Lepisosteus oculatus: one gene and its partner. The protein of the gene in region 1 purifies or fractionates together with the protein of each later gene. This does not show direct contact. Links are inferred from orthologs where the notes say so. Each region holds a gene or a part of one and is shown on either strand. Other genes may lie near its edges.

Region 1 (7,517 bases):
CCGTTTCTCTGTCCACCACCAGCAGCCGCGTCTCGCTCTCCAGGGCCTTGATTCTCTGCACCACCTGCAGCCGAAGGAGGACAGCGGGGGCTGAGGCTGCTGCGAGGCCCACTCCCACCGGGGTTTTACATGATTAAATAATTAAATATCATTAAATTAGGTACAAGGAAAAGTCCTCCTTCCGCTCTGCAGACAAATATGGAAAGCTCACCAAAAATACAGCATAAGGAGCAGTGGACCATTTTCGCTCCGAGCTGAAAATGTGTCAACATTGCTGACAAAGCATTCTTATGTCGGTATCTCCTTATGGGACAAAATGTGGAATATTTAGGTTTAGAAGTTGGCCAGAATCTGATACAACTATAAAAACAACAATAATTCCTGCTTTGGTTCTGACAGAACATCCAAATTGCACATTCCAGCAAAATAAAAAAGACCAAGGGTCTGTTTTGGATTTGTTTACTACAGAGGAGGCAGTTTACACCCTGACAAAATAAGGATCTGAGAGTAAAACGAACTTTGAAACTGATTAAAGTAAACCAGATGACATGTATGGAAAGCCACAAAGAAATGAAGTCTACTGTAGGTATGCCACAGTCTGCCACAAGGAGCAGTAACATTCTTGATTGAACCCACCAATTGAATTTATTGAGTCTCCACTTGGAAGCTGTTAATCCCCAGTTTAATAGGCCCTTATCTCCCCTCACAAGGGTGAATGACTCCAAAAACACAAAGCAGAGAGAGGAAAGAATGTAAATACTCCCATGGAGTGACTCTATTCCCTAGGAGAGTGCCAGCTCTTGTCTTTGATTCATGGGGTTTGGTGAGGACTTTAATATGAAGCATCTAATAGCTCATTTAACAAAACACCCTTCTTTAATGTGCAAAGACTTTTTGGGATTTCAAAGTTCAGACTATCCTTGTCATTACTGACAATAAAAAAAAAATGTCTCACCTGCTAAAGAAAACAGAATTATTATTTTTTTGTGTTTCTTAATGAGCTGGTCAGTTCACTAAGATTCCTGTAGACTCACCTTGAGTGCCAAGATGGCTAATACAGCTTTCTAACAATACTAACAGACAAATAAATGTAATGTATTCACCTATAATGTAATCATTGCATACTAATTTTTCACCTAATTTGTCAGACTAAGGGCTCATTAAGTTATAATTATTTTCTGCATTTTTATTTTGTGATTAAACAGAGACAGGAGAAAATCTCTTCCCTGCAAACCGAGTCCCAGAGCAAAAGAGGGAGCAAAGCAAGACTGATTGGAAACTAAAGTTTTTTCGTTGGACAAAAAAAGCACAGCACAAGCACTCCAATTGATAAATGAGAATGGCACCAGTTGTTAAACTAAAATACTACTAAAAATGCTGAACGATATACAACAACGTATATGACCTTTCAGTAATCCATACAGGTGTTAAAAAAATGTAACACTTTTTCTATGTGGCAAAACAAAACATTTTGACAATGAAGCTACAAAGTATTTGAGGAGTTACGTCCTGAGAACTACTACATGAACGATTATTTTATGTGCTGAACTGTCCCTTCCTTGGAGACAATTTCTCCCTGCACACAATGGTTCTGTGCTGGTACGGCCAACTGCACGGAGCAAACAAACACCCGTTTGTTGTGGCATCAGTCATTTGTCTTCACAATAACTTCCTTGGCTATGCGTAGAAATTGAAAGAATAAAGCATTTCGTTTGTTACGAGGAAACCGAACTCAAATAATATAAACAATGTCATATGATGACATTTATTTAAGAACCGAAAGCTTCCACTGAATTCTCTAGGACCTAGGGCATTCCCAATAAACCAAGCAGAAAGGTTTCAATTTACAGTAACTTCGGGTGTTCAAGCGCTTTTTAAAGGGCACACCAAGCTAAATGCAGTGCCAATAAAACCCAGAGTTCGGTTAAAAAGGTTGGTCAGATCTAACCTGCCCTCAGCTTTCCAGTTCATACCACCGGGCAGGTCTTGATACGCGCACGGTACTGCAATTTCCAACGTTATTTGGGCAAAGAAATGACGGCATTAGCGCAAAAAAGATGGGGTCTGGGCACAGTTTCTGGGAACATTGGCTGCTTCATCACCGTCACAAAATACGACCGAAGAAAGGTCTAACCAAAGGCTGTGGGGGCAACGGGATGTTCAGATAGTGTTTCGGCACTTACTTGGTGATGCGTTTCTTTTTCCACGTTGTCACCGTTCACCTCCACCACCCGGTCCCCTGCTCGGAGCCCAGCAGCCTCCGCGGGTGAGCCCAGCTCCACTTTGCGTATGTACTGGCCACTTTTCCCTTTCTCGCCGTGCAAATGAAAACCATACCCATTCTCCCCTTTCGTCATGAAACAAAGCCGCGGTTTCAGCTCCTTGGTCATGTTTGTCACCAGACCAATTTCTGCGTTTTCACTTTTTGTTATCCACCTGAAGACTACTGTCGTCCTCTCCCAGTGCACGTCCGCCCGACTGCTCGCTCGACGCAGTCCCTTTAAACTTGCTGCCGATAATTTTCCAAAGACCCGAAATGTGAGGATTATCGCTAGGGATTTTCAAAACATTGACCACAAAAACGAAAAACGCACAGGATGAAAGTTCCTTAGGTTAAAAGTATATCCACAGGCGTTTAACATTCTTTAATAACAAACCACAAGTGTGAGGCGTAATCCCAGTGGTGGTCGTCTAGAGAACAGCAACAGGTAACCGGTTTCCAGTTTGTTTTGCGTGTGTAAGTTTTTTTTCCCTTCGCTATTTTACGGAATCGATGGATTTCGCGGCATAACGGACTCCGTTTTTTTAAGTTTTCCCCCTTGTTGGGCTGCTGTCATTTTGAACTACATGAGGCTCCAGGCCATGAACAGAAACTAGCTCAAGCGCTCCTTCCGTGCTCCATCCGCAACACTCAGCTGGGGAATTAGGATTCAATTACACGACAAGGTTTAAGTAAATAGATGTGTCGCTTAGATCTGTTACAGCTCAACAGCACCACCGCCCTACCAAATGGCTGCTTTAAAAAAAAAATAAAACAAGATCTCGACATCAGTTCCACTCTCTGACCACTCTGTGAACTAATGACAGTCCTTTCAAAGATGTTATCCTAACCAAAGGCTTAAGACTTAACTGAAAATCTTTTGTTGTGGGTACTTTTCTTACCTTTGGATTCTTTTTTTTTACAGATGGATTTATTCTACATCAGTTTTTATATGTAAAGTCTCTGTTTTTTAAAGGTTTTAAAATACGTAAAAAGTTCGGACCATGCGTAAAAGCGCGAGCACTGAAATTCTTTTTCGCGATCACGTTCACTATTTTATTAATGTGCTGGTGCATTTCTCCAGTGACGTGACAGAAAGAACCATAATTTCTGTATTTTGATCAGGAAAAGCGCTAAAACACAAATAAGTTCAGCTGAGATCGCTTATCTACAATAAGCTACTGTATTTAGTGTAATATTCCAGTAAACTACTATTGCATTAAAATAACCCAAGAATTCACATAAAACAAACAGGAGCTATATATTTTCATGAGGGTAGCTGCATCAGCATGCGTAGGCTGCAAAGGAACAAGTAATAGGTTTATTCCATGCTGAAAAGAGAAGAAAGAATACACAGCGTTTCGGCCGTGGAGCCCCTCCTGAAGAAGGCTCCACGGCCGAAACGTTGTGTTTTTTCTTCTCTTTTCAGCATGGAATAAAAGGAGTCATATTTGTAAAACTATTTCATGGGATATTGTGTTATAGTTACTGTATCTGTACAGAACGTGTATTCTGAGGTAATGCGATTTTGAGTGCGTTTTTCTACCGAAAAATGCCATTTTGTTTTACGAATAATAGCAAGTCGTTTATTGTTATTAATTGAAGCAATTAATTTCGCTATGTGCCACTTTCTCTGGGCTGTTATTGCACCCGGGTCTCGGGGAAACGTGCGGCAAGTGTCAGCGACTCGTGCCTGAGGAGATGACTGGGCTGTCGGGAGAGCAGCTTCCTGAGCCGGGGAGTAACAGACAACGCTCAAGACATCCTAGAAAAATAAAGGTGCGGCTCTTTTCGTTTAGGTAAACTAGTAACTGACTCAGTAACTGACTTTTTTTTGCATACCAGACAAGTTAAAAGATTCTACTAGGTCGCTACAAAACTCAGAAATCTACTTGGTATGAAATGATCTCAATTTGCCCGTTGAACATTTTTAAATGAGATTGGTAAATATTATTCGAAATAAAACCTTTTTTATTTATTGTAAACTATAGACATGTAGCACATTATTGTCTGCAATGCCGATTTACAGAAGGAATCGACTAGAAGTTTTCAAGTGTCAACATCTATTACGTTTTGCTACTTTTCTCGTGTGCACTTTCGTTGGTGTACTGCCACATGCTGGAAAACACGCGTAACCGCTCTCGTAAAATGTCGACGTTACGGTAGGTCGGCGCACATGTACTTTTTTATCAGTTTCTTTTTATCTTTAGTTCAGCGGATACTAGGCCACAGGCGTTAAAATAAAACAATTAACCATAACAGTAACACAACAGATTTAAGATGATATAGGGTTACTACACGTGAAAAAATCAAACGCACAGAAAACATTTGGGGAACAAGAATAAGAGTCAATTTCAGGACAGGTTAAGCTATTTGAAAATCCCTCCCGGACATTGATTTAAGGAACTAAAAGGAAGACATGATAACCCTCCATACTATAACACGTTGTATACTGTACATACACTACAGACCTTAATGTACTTCTGCATCTAGACATCAATTACATGTAACCTACTTTATATACCATAATTCTGTGCAAATTAAATGAAACTGCTCTTTAATTGGCAGAACAATTGTAGGGATAGTCAAAATACCGTCTTCTGTGGCTCTACCATTCCACGCGCTCAATTTAAAAATATTACGGTGGTTTCGGAACTAAAATAAATGGGCAGTTAACGCTTAAATTGCTTTCAGAAGGCTTACCCGTTTTCACCCGAAGCAGTTTTTAATGAAGATGGTCATGTAAAAAGTTAAGCTAACATATAAAATCATAATGTGATGTTCACACCATGTCGAATAATTATAAACATATTTTAAAACGTACAAAACCAGCGGAAGTACCAATAATTCTGAGGTTCAAGGAGTCTGGAGATATACTAATGAGAATCAAATCTTACCATAAGGCAAAGCTGGGGATGTTTAACAAAGCTCACAAAACTATTTAACATATTTTAATTTTGCTTTAAAAAAATGTCTACCACAACCCCGTTTCTTAAATCAGATTATTTGCATGACCTTTTAAACGTCCATGTGAAAGCATGAGGTTTAAATGAATGTAGAAGTGTTACCATGTGCCATTACAAATATATGCAGCACGACAAACAATATAAAAGTAATACATCAATAATAAATGAATACATTAGCAGATAGTCAACTTACATAATTAACAAAGGCTTAACAACTGAGGTAATCAATTTAATCTTGGCAAATGTGGTGCAGAAATTAGCAAGGTAGGTGTTTTTTATTGTAATAGCAAGTTATCCTTATTTACTACAAAAACTGCCTGGTAATAAAATACCACAGACACATTTTCAAAGATAAGCCAGGAGCAATCAGTGAAGTACAGGTTTCTCTCCAATGTTTATTTCGTAGAAAGAATGATTGAAAAAATATTTACAGAGGAACAGAACATTGGACTGTAAATGACTGTTACTGTTTATTTTCTAAGGAAAGGATGTTTTATCAAACTTCCCTACAAATAGTTTTTTTTATCAGACACTTCAATTATAAGTGGAAAAAACAAACAATTTCCAAAAGAACAAGGAGAATCATTTGGATACAACGTTTTCTTCAAGCCAAAACAAAGAGTTCTGAGTTATAATGTGACACATAAGCTTCGTTTCCAATGACATCTGGCTTTTTCCCCACTACAGGTTTTTCGATAAAGATAAAGTCTTGTGGCAGCACTTGAAACACTGAACGAGAACAAACCATTACAGATAACTGTGATGATTAAAAACCTCAATGTCCCCTGGACAATTGGTATGAAAACCCGGGTCCAAGTGAGTGTGATTTTCGGCACATTCTCGGAGGAAACAAAACAAAAGACACCTGTAAACACCTCCAGTCCTGCAGCCCAACCCAGTTGAAACTGGCAATACTCCTTTATAAGAGTGCTACAGGAGTGGACGAGAGGGAAGACGTGGGTATTTGACCTCCCTGAGACTCTGTTAACCCCTCTGTTTCAGTTAGTGTAAGCCTCAGGTGTCTGGGTCAGACACCTCTGTGAAAGAAATGCCTTTGTTTCCTCCCACACCACATATCAGTGTGATACTGGGATCCAGTTTTATGTTTAACTGCTGCTGCGGTTTCTATGCATTGACTTTTATTCCTCATACATCTTGGTCCCTATAATACTCAACTAAACTAACATTCATCCATCTGCTAATCAATAGGTCAATATGGGATAAGTCACAGGGGAGCCGGAGCCTATCCTACAAGCAATGGGCACAAGGCGGGATGCTCCTCGGATGGGACGTGCAGAAGCAAACACACACACACACACACACGCCAGGGCCAGTCCTCCCAGAAGCTAATTCACACACCAGTACGTCTTAGGCAGGAAACCAGAGCACCCAGAGGCAACCCACGCGGACATGGGGAGAACGTGCAAGCTCCACACAGACAGCACCCCGGGGATTGAACCCAGGGCCCCCGGGGGCCGCGCACAGCAGAGCTCACCACTGCGCCACACGGGCCACCCTCCTGAATTGGCAATCAAAACAAAATCCACGTCCCCGATGAAAAGAAACAATTGGCTAATGAGGAAAACGTTTGGAAAACTGGCACGAGTATCCCTTGTCTTGAGATAAAAGGCAAATGTACGCTAGTAGACTTTAGGAGTAGGGGTCTTTGGAAGGGGGCTCATGGCTCCTCTTCTTGTTGTAGCTGTTGGCATAGGGGCAGCTGTCCTTATTAAGGCAGTCTGAGCACAGCGGGTTTATTGGCAGGCACACCTGCTGGCCAAAACCAACTAACAGCCAGTTGATTTCACTCCAGAGGTCCCTGAAATAGATTACTAGGATTAGTAAATGTCGGCAGAAGCACTGCTTCCAGACAACTAGAGAAGGTGGCAGAGACTTATCGCATTATTTAATTTGTGGCGTACCCAAAAAACGAAACTTTGGCAGATTTTTTTATTTTAGTGATCAAAAAGTAGTGAACAAAACTGTCAACCCCACAGAACACTTCTGTCCCTTTACAGATAAGGGACAGTAACTAGGCCTCCAAGCTGTGGCTGGCAAGCTGTGCAGTTACCTTGGCAACCAGTCTTCCAATGCGACTCTGGTCTCCTCGGGAGTCTTTGTGCTTTTCTTCACCCATCCCAGCCTGTTGGCGATCCGATGGACATGTGTATCCACTCCTGGAAGACACAGATGCCTTTGCAGGTCGGGAACAGAGAAGCGCGAGTTTGCTTTAAGGGCCCACGATAAAGGTGGACCGGAAAACATGAGTCATGGGACATACAGGCAGTCAT
Region 2 (6,993 bases), on another chromosome or scaffold:
TGTGTCAATGTGTGTGTAGTAGTGTGCCAGTGTGTGTGAAGCAGTGTGATTTTAGCTGTGTGTGAAGCAGTGTGATTTTGGCAGTGTGTGTAGTGGTAGTGTGCCAGTGTGATTGTAGCAGTGTTTGTGTCAATGTGTGTGTAGTAGTGTGCCAGTGTGTGTGAAGCAGTGTGATTTTAGCTGTGTGTGAAGCAGTGTGATTTTGGCAGTGTGTGTAGTGGTAGTGTGCCAGTGTGATTGTAGCAGTGTTTGTGTCAATGTGTGTGTAGTAGTGTGCCAGTGTGTGTGAAGCAGTGTGATTTTGGCAGTGTGTGTAGTAGTAGTGTGCCAGTGTGATTGTAGCAGTGTGATTTTAGCTGTGTGTGAAGCAGTGTGATTTTGGCAGTGTGTGTAGTAGTAGTGTGCCAGTGTGATTGTAGCAGTGTTTGTGTCAATGTGTGTGTAGTAGTGTGCCAGTGTGTGTGAAGCAGTGTGATTGTAGCTGTGTGTGTGTGTGTAGCAGTGTGTGCCAGCGTGTCTGAGCCCAGTGCGGGTCACAATGTGTCTTTGTGCGCCAGCCCCACCCCCCTGCTGCTCTCTGACAAGAACACTCTCCCACTGTCTCAGGCTTCCTGGACAGACTGCAATCAGGAGAGGATCCTCGTCTCTGTCTGCCCCTCCTCTGCACTCTGGGTGTCCTAGTGAGAGTCTCTCTTTCTCCTTCTCTTCCCTCTGTCCTCCCTCCTCTCCCCCTTTCTCCTCTCCCCCCCCCTCTCTCTGTTCCCTGGCTGCTGGCTGGAGTTCAGAGTTCGATCTTCCAGCCTCTGCCTCCTGCTCTCTAACCTTTACCCAGGCAGTCAGGGACAGCTGTAAACCACTCTGCTCTGGGACACACGGAGATAGGGGAGAGCTGTGTGTGTGGGAGGCAATGTACAATATCACTGTGTGTGTGTGAGGGAGAGAGAGAGGTGATGGCTGTGATCCTGTATGACTGCGTGTGAGAGAGGTGATGTTCCGTGATCCTGTATGACTGTGTGTGAGAGAGGTGATGTTCCGTGATCCTGTATGACTGCGTGTGAGAGAGGTGATGGCTGTGATCCTGTATGACTGCGTGTGAGAGAGGTGATGTTCCGTGATCCTGTATGACTGCGTGTGAGAGAGGTGATGTTCTGTGATCCTGTATGACTGCGTGTGAGAGAGGTGATGGGCTGTGATCCTGTATGACTGCGTGTGAGAGAGGTGATGTTCCGTGATCCTGTATGACTGCGTGTGAGAGAGGTGATGTTCCGTGATCCTGTATGACTGCGTGTGAGAGAGGTGATGGGCTGTGATCCTGTATGACTGCGTGTGAGAGAGGTGATGGGCTGTGATCCTGTATGACTGCGTGTGAGAGAGGTGATGGGCTGTGATCCTGTATGACTGTGTGAGAGAGAGGTGATGTTCTGTGATCCTGTATGACTGTGTGTGAGAGAGGTGATGTTCCGTGATCCTGTATGACTGCGTGTGAGAGAGGTGATGTTCCGTGATCCTGTATGACTGCGTGTGAGAGAGGTGATGGCTGTGATCCTGTATGACTGCGTGTGAGAGAGGTGATGTTCTGTGATCCTGTATGACTGCGTGTGAGAGAGGTGATGTTCCGTGATCCTGTATGACTGCGTGTGAGAGAGGTGATGGGCTGTGATCCTGTATGACTGCGTGTGAGAGAGGTGATGTTCCGTGATCCTGTATGACTGCGTGTGAGAGAGGTGATGGCTGTGATCCTGTATGACTGCGTGTGAGAGAGGTGATGTTCTGTGATCCTGTATGACTGCGTGTGAGAGAGGTGATGTTCTGTGATCCTGTATGACTGCGTGTGAGAGAGGTGATGTTCCGTGATCCTGTATGACTGCGTGTGAGAGAGGTGATGGGCTGTGATCCTGTATGACTGCGTGTGAGAGAGGTGATGGGCTGTGATCCTGTATGACTGCGTGTGAGAGAGGTGATGGGCTGTGATCCTGTATGACTGCGTGTGAGAGAGGTGATGGGCTGTGATCCTGTATGACTGCGTGTGAGAGAGGTGATGGCTGTGATCCTGTATGACTGCATGTGAGAGAGGTGATGTTCTGTGATCCTGTATGACTGCGTGTGAGAGAGGTGATGGGCTGTGATCCTGTATGACTGTGTGAGAGAGAGGTGATGTTCTGTGATCCTGTATGACTGTGTGTGAGAGAGGTGATGTTCCGTGATCCTGTATGACTGCGTGTGAGAGAGGTGATGGGCTGTGGTCCTGTATGACTGCGTGTGAGAGAGGTGATGTTCTGTGATCCTGTATGACTGCGTGTGAGAGAGGTGATGGGCTGTGGTCCTGTATGACTGCGTGTGAGAGAGGTGATGTTCCGTGATCCTGTATGACTGCGTGTGAGAGAGGTGATGGGCTGTGATCCTGTATGACTGCGTGTGAGAGAGGTGATGGCTGTGATCCTGTATGACTGCGTGTGAGAGAGGTGATGTTCTGTGATCCTGTATGACTGCGTGTGAGAGAGGTGATGGCTGTGATCCTGTATGACTGCGTGTGAGAGAGGTGATGTTCTGTGATCCTGTATGACTGCGTGTGAGAGAGGTGATGGGCTGTGATCCTGTATGACTGTGTGAGAGAGAGGTGATGTTCTGTGATCCTGTATGACTGTGTGTGAGAGAGGTGATGTTCCGTGATCCTGTATGACTGCGTGTGAGAGAGGTGATGGGCTGTGGTCCTGTATGACTGCGTGTGAGAGAGGTGATGGGCTGTGATCCTGTATGACTGCGTGTGAGAGAGGTGATGTTCCGTGATCCTGTATGACTGTGTGTGAGAGAGGTGATGTTCCGTGGTCCTGTATGACTGCGTGTGAGAGAGGTGATGGGCTGTGATCCTGTATGACTGTGTGTGAGAGATGCGCTACAAGGTTTCTACACAGTTACAGAGTGTGAGGGTCACTACCAGCAGGAGAGTGACTGCAGTGGCAGGGTGTACATGCTGAAGCAGGCTGTATGAATCTGCTCTTCCCTTCTCTCACTCACTTCATTTGACACAAACCCTGGTAAAAAAAAAGTCCATCAGCCTCTGTTTAAACTGAGCTGTCAAATTATAACAAAAATGCTCCTTGAAACTCCCCATCTGGACTGTGTTGGACTTAACTAAATATGGTGTTTCCTTATCCAGTAAAGAAAGTCCAGGACGAGCCCCTACGGCCCAGAGACCCCAGTTCATGGTCCCAGTCCAAGATGAGCCCCTACAGCCCAGAGACCCCAGTTCAGGGTCCCAGTCCAAGATGAGCCCCTACAGCCCAGAGACCCCGGTTCAGGGTCCCAGTCCAAGATGAGCCCCTACAGCCCAGAGACCCCAGTTCGGGGTCCCAGTCCAAGATGAGCCCCTACAGCCCAGAGACCCCAGTTCAAGGTCCCAGTCTGGGACGACCCCCGACACCCAGGAGACCCCAGTTCAGGGTCCCAGTCCAGAGATTATTGCTAGTATACGGCAAGACACTATTAATGTCCATCTGCCAGGCTTGTAAAATGCCCACAGTGAAATGGTTTACTTGTGTTTTTTTTTATCTCCACAGAGTGTCCAGGAGAACAAATCGCCAGGGGGGCAGTACCGGCGAGACCGGACAACAACCACGTCCACAAGGTGAAAGGCAGGCGGGACGGGCACAACACCGAGCTACAAAGAGGAGGAGACACGGACACCACAGAGTTCCGTTTTTCTGCCCGAGCTTGCGCGGGGAGAGAGAATAAGGAGGGGGGGATCTTGTGTGCCTCATACAGGGGAAGAGGGAATTCATTTTTATTTTTTGGGGGGGGGAATTGGGAGTTTTTAGGGCGTGCTCCTACCAGCGCGGCGACGAAAGCAGGAACTAGATATAACTCACGGCCACTCGCCGGTTAAAAATGGCAGCCCGGCGCCCGAGGGGTTAAGACGGCTTGTCCGGGGAGCCGGACGACATTCCAGGCTGGGAGCGCCGAGTAATCCCGTGTAAGGGGGAGAGGGAGATGGGGGGGTCTGTGCGGGTTGCCGATGACAATTCCCCGCTGCTCCTTTAAGACGTGCCCGACTTTTAATCTTCCCAGCGTTTATTATTTAAGTACTCGAGAGAAAGACCCGCCTCCGGAGGACTGAGGGGAGGGAGGGAGAGGAAAAAAAAATACCCAACATCTTAGGCTTGAACTGCGATTGACAGCGATAATTGAACAACTTCTTCAGCAGAGGCGAAGGAAGCTCCCTCCCTCCCTCCGCCTGTCCACACTCACTCACTCTCTCTCTCTCTCCAGAAACATGAGCGACAGAAGGCGAAGCGTTTCAAAGAAGGAGGAAAAACACTGAAAAAAAAAAAACGGAGTTGAGGAGAGCCGGAGACGGAGAGGAAGCAGAAAGTTTTCCAGGCGCGTCGGGGTGGCGGTTCGGCGCTCGTCCGGAGCTCCGGGAAAGGAACGCGGAAAGAAACGCAAAAGCAAAACGGAGGAGAGAGAGAAAGCGGAGCAGCAGCAGCCCCGAACCGGGTCCCCGTCCCTTCCCTGACCCCGACGCGGAGCTGTAGCGGCGGGGAGACCGAGCGGCACCCCCACACCGCCCGCGGCGCGGCGAGATGGCCGGGGCGCGACCGGGAGTTCACGCTCTGCAGCTCAAGCCGGTCTCGGTGCACGAAACTCTGAGGAAAGGGAGCAAGTTCATCAAGTGGGAAGAGGTAAGAAGACCCACCACCACTACCACCACCACCACCCTGGGCCCTGGCAAAGACGCGCGTCGGTTTATTTCTGGATGATTATGATTATTGTCTTTGCGAGCGCAGGTCGTGTTTCCGTCCAGGTTGGCCGCGCTCAGGCGGTAGACCTGCAGGGCTGGTGTCGGCGGAGGGGTAGGAAAGCGAGAGGAGTCCCCCGCTCCCCGCTTCTCCTAGTGTTTTAATTAATCTGGCGGGGGGGGTGTCTGTGGAGGATTTTTTGTCTCAGGGAGACGAGGGACGCGAGAAATATGGGGTTGGGGTGGGGAGGAGGTCGGTCGGTCGGTCGGCGTTGCGATTCGAGAAGCGAAAGTGTGCCGTGGGTGGGAAGGAGTGGAAAACAAACAAAAAAAGTCCTAACTGGGCCCTTCGTTCAAGACCAATGTCACCGCGTCGACGAGGGGTTGATGGGGGGGGGGTGTGTATACATGTCCTTAGTGGCAAAGTTGTCAGGTTGTTTCGTGTTGCGTGGTTGCCCGGCTGTCTTCCGCGAACACCCCTCGGCAGAGAGAAAACAAACTCGCCTTGCGAAGGTGTGTCGACATTGTGTGTGTGTGTGGGAGGGGGGCCCAGCTTTGTCAGGGCTGCTGTAGTGACTGAACCGAGGGGGGTAACGGACGGGGTTTTCGGGGCCTCGCCCGGCTTTGTGATGGTCGGGTTCAGGGGGACGCCGGGAGGGCGCGCAGGGGTTCCCGGGTGGGACACGAACCGCTGGCGGGGCTCGGGACTTCCCTTCCGCTGCTGCTGCCGCCGCCGCCGCCACGGACGTGCTGAAGGTGGCCTGCACGAGCCAGGAGGAGAGAGTCTCCCACTACATGGCGGTCCGGTCCGGTCCACTCCAGGTGTGACAGTGCTGTCAGTCAGACTCCCAGTGCGCAGCAGTCTGATCCGCTCCAGGTGTGACAGTGCTGTCAGTCAGACTCCAGGTGCGCAGCAGTCTGATCCGCTCCAGGTGTGACAGTGCAGTCAGTCAGACTCCCAGTGTGCAGCAGTCTGATCTGATCCAGGTGTGACAGTGCAGTCAGTCAGACTCCAGGTGCGCAGCAGTCTGATCTGCTCCAGGTGTGACAGTGCAGTCAGTCAGACTCCCAGTGTGCAGCAGTCTGATCCGCTCCAGGTGTGACAGTGCTGTCAGTCAGACTCCCGGTGCACAGCAGTCTGATCCGCTCCAGGTGTGACAGTGCAGTCAGTCAGACTCCCGGTGCGCAGCAGTCTGATCCGCTCCAGGTGTGACAGTGCAGTCAGTCAGACTCCCGGTGCGCAGCAGTCTGATCCGCTCCAGGTGTGACAGTGCTGTCAGTCAGACTCCCAGTGCGCAGCAGTCTGATCCGCTCCAGGTGTGACAGTGCTGTCAGACTCCCAGTGTGCAGCAGTCTGATCCGCTCCAGATATGACAGTGCTGTCAGACAGACTCCCAGTGCGCAGCAGTCTGATCCGCTCCAGGTGTGACAGTGCTGTCAGTCAGACTCCAGGTGCGCAGCAGTCTGATCCGCTCCAGGTGTGACAGTGTTGTCAGTCAGACTCCAGGTGCGCAGCAGTCTGATCCGCTCCAGGTGTGACAGTGCAGTCAGTCAGACTCCCAGTCTGCAGCAGTCTGATCTGCTCCAGGTGTGACAGTGCAGTCAGTCAGACTCCAGGTGTGCAGCAGTCTGATCTGCTCCAGGCGTGACAGTGCAGTCAGTCAGACTCCCAGTGTGCAGCAGTCTGATCTGCTCCAGGTGTGACAGTGCAGTCAGTCAGACTCCCAGTGTGCAGCAGTCTGATCTGCTCCAGGTGTGACAGTGCAGTCAGTCAGACTCCCAGTGTGCAGCAGTCTGATCTGCTCCAGGTGTGACAGTGCAGTCAGTCAGACTCCAGGTGCGCAGCAGTCTGAGCTGCTCAGGACTGACAGGGCTGTTGGTTGAAGTCTGACTGGGAGCCAGCAGGGTTTCTCCACTTGTTTTGTCATCCTTCTGACCAGAATGGCCCGGTGGTCCGTACGGTACAGTGCTGGTTTCTTTGGGCTCTTCCCGGTCAGCCGTGTGGACAGAGTGCATCTCCGGCGACGTGCGAACGAGCCTCATCACCGTCAGTGTGATTTCATTGCCTCTCACCTGGCCTGGTGTGTATCCAGGGAAAACGCGCAGCACACAGTGGCCTGTCCCTTATATGGGTTTTCTTTCTGGTGTGTCTGAATCGTCCCTCTCTGCGTTTGTTTACCCTGTGAAGGACTGGCGTCCTGACTGGGGGTGTGTGTGTGTCTCATGTGATGGACAGGTGTCCTGACAGGGAGTGTGTG

The links. The genes of interacting proteins can lie anywhere in the genome.
Region 2: the proteins of Na(+)/H(+) exchange regulatory cofactor NHE-RF2 (region 1) and plcb3 purify together in Homo sapiens (co-immunoprecipitation; 3 studies listed by BioGRID and IntAct, with this or other methods). This does not show direct contact. The link is inferred for Lepisosteus oculatus from reciprocal best matches to the Homo sapiens genes NHERF2 and PLCB3.

The regions. Positions count from the first base shown.
Region 1 is NC_090714.1:2,507,408-2,514,924, forward strand, and holds the start of Na(+)/H(+) exchange regulatory cofactor NHE-RF2, read right to left. Parts: upstream 3,010-7,517; 5' UTR 2,391-3,009; coding exon 2,184-2,390; intron 65-2,183; coding exon 1-64. Other genes in the region: nthl1 (endonuclease III-like protein 1), read right to left, coding at 6,877-7,045, 7,298-7,403.
Region 2 is NC_090713.1:21,868,048-21,875,040, reverse strand, and holds the start of plcb3 (1-phosphatidylinositol 4,5-bisphosphate phosphodiesterase beta-3), read left to right. Parts: upstream 1-3,987; 5' UTR 3,988-4,580; coding exon 4,581-4,679; intron 4,680-6,993. UniProt on the Homo sapiens protein: Catalyzes the production of the second messenger molecules diacylglycerol (DAG) and inositol 1,4,5-trisphosphate (IP3).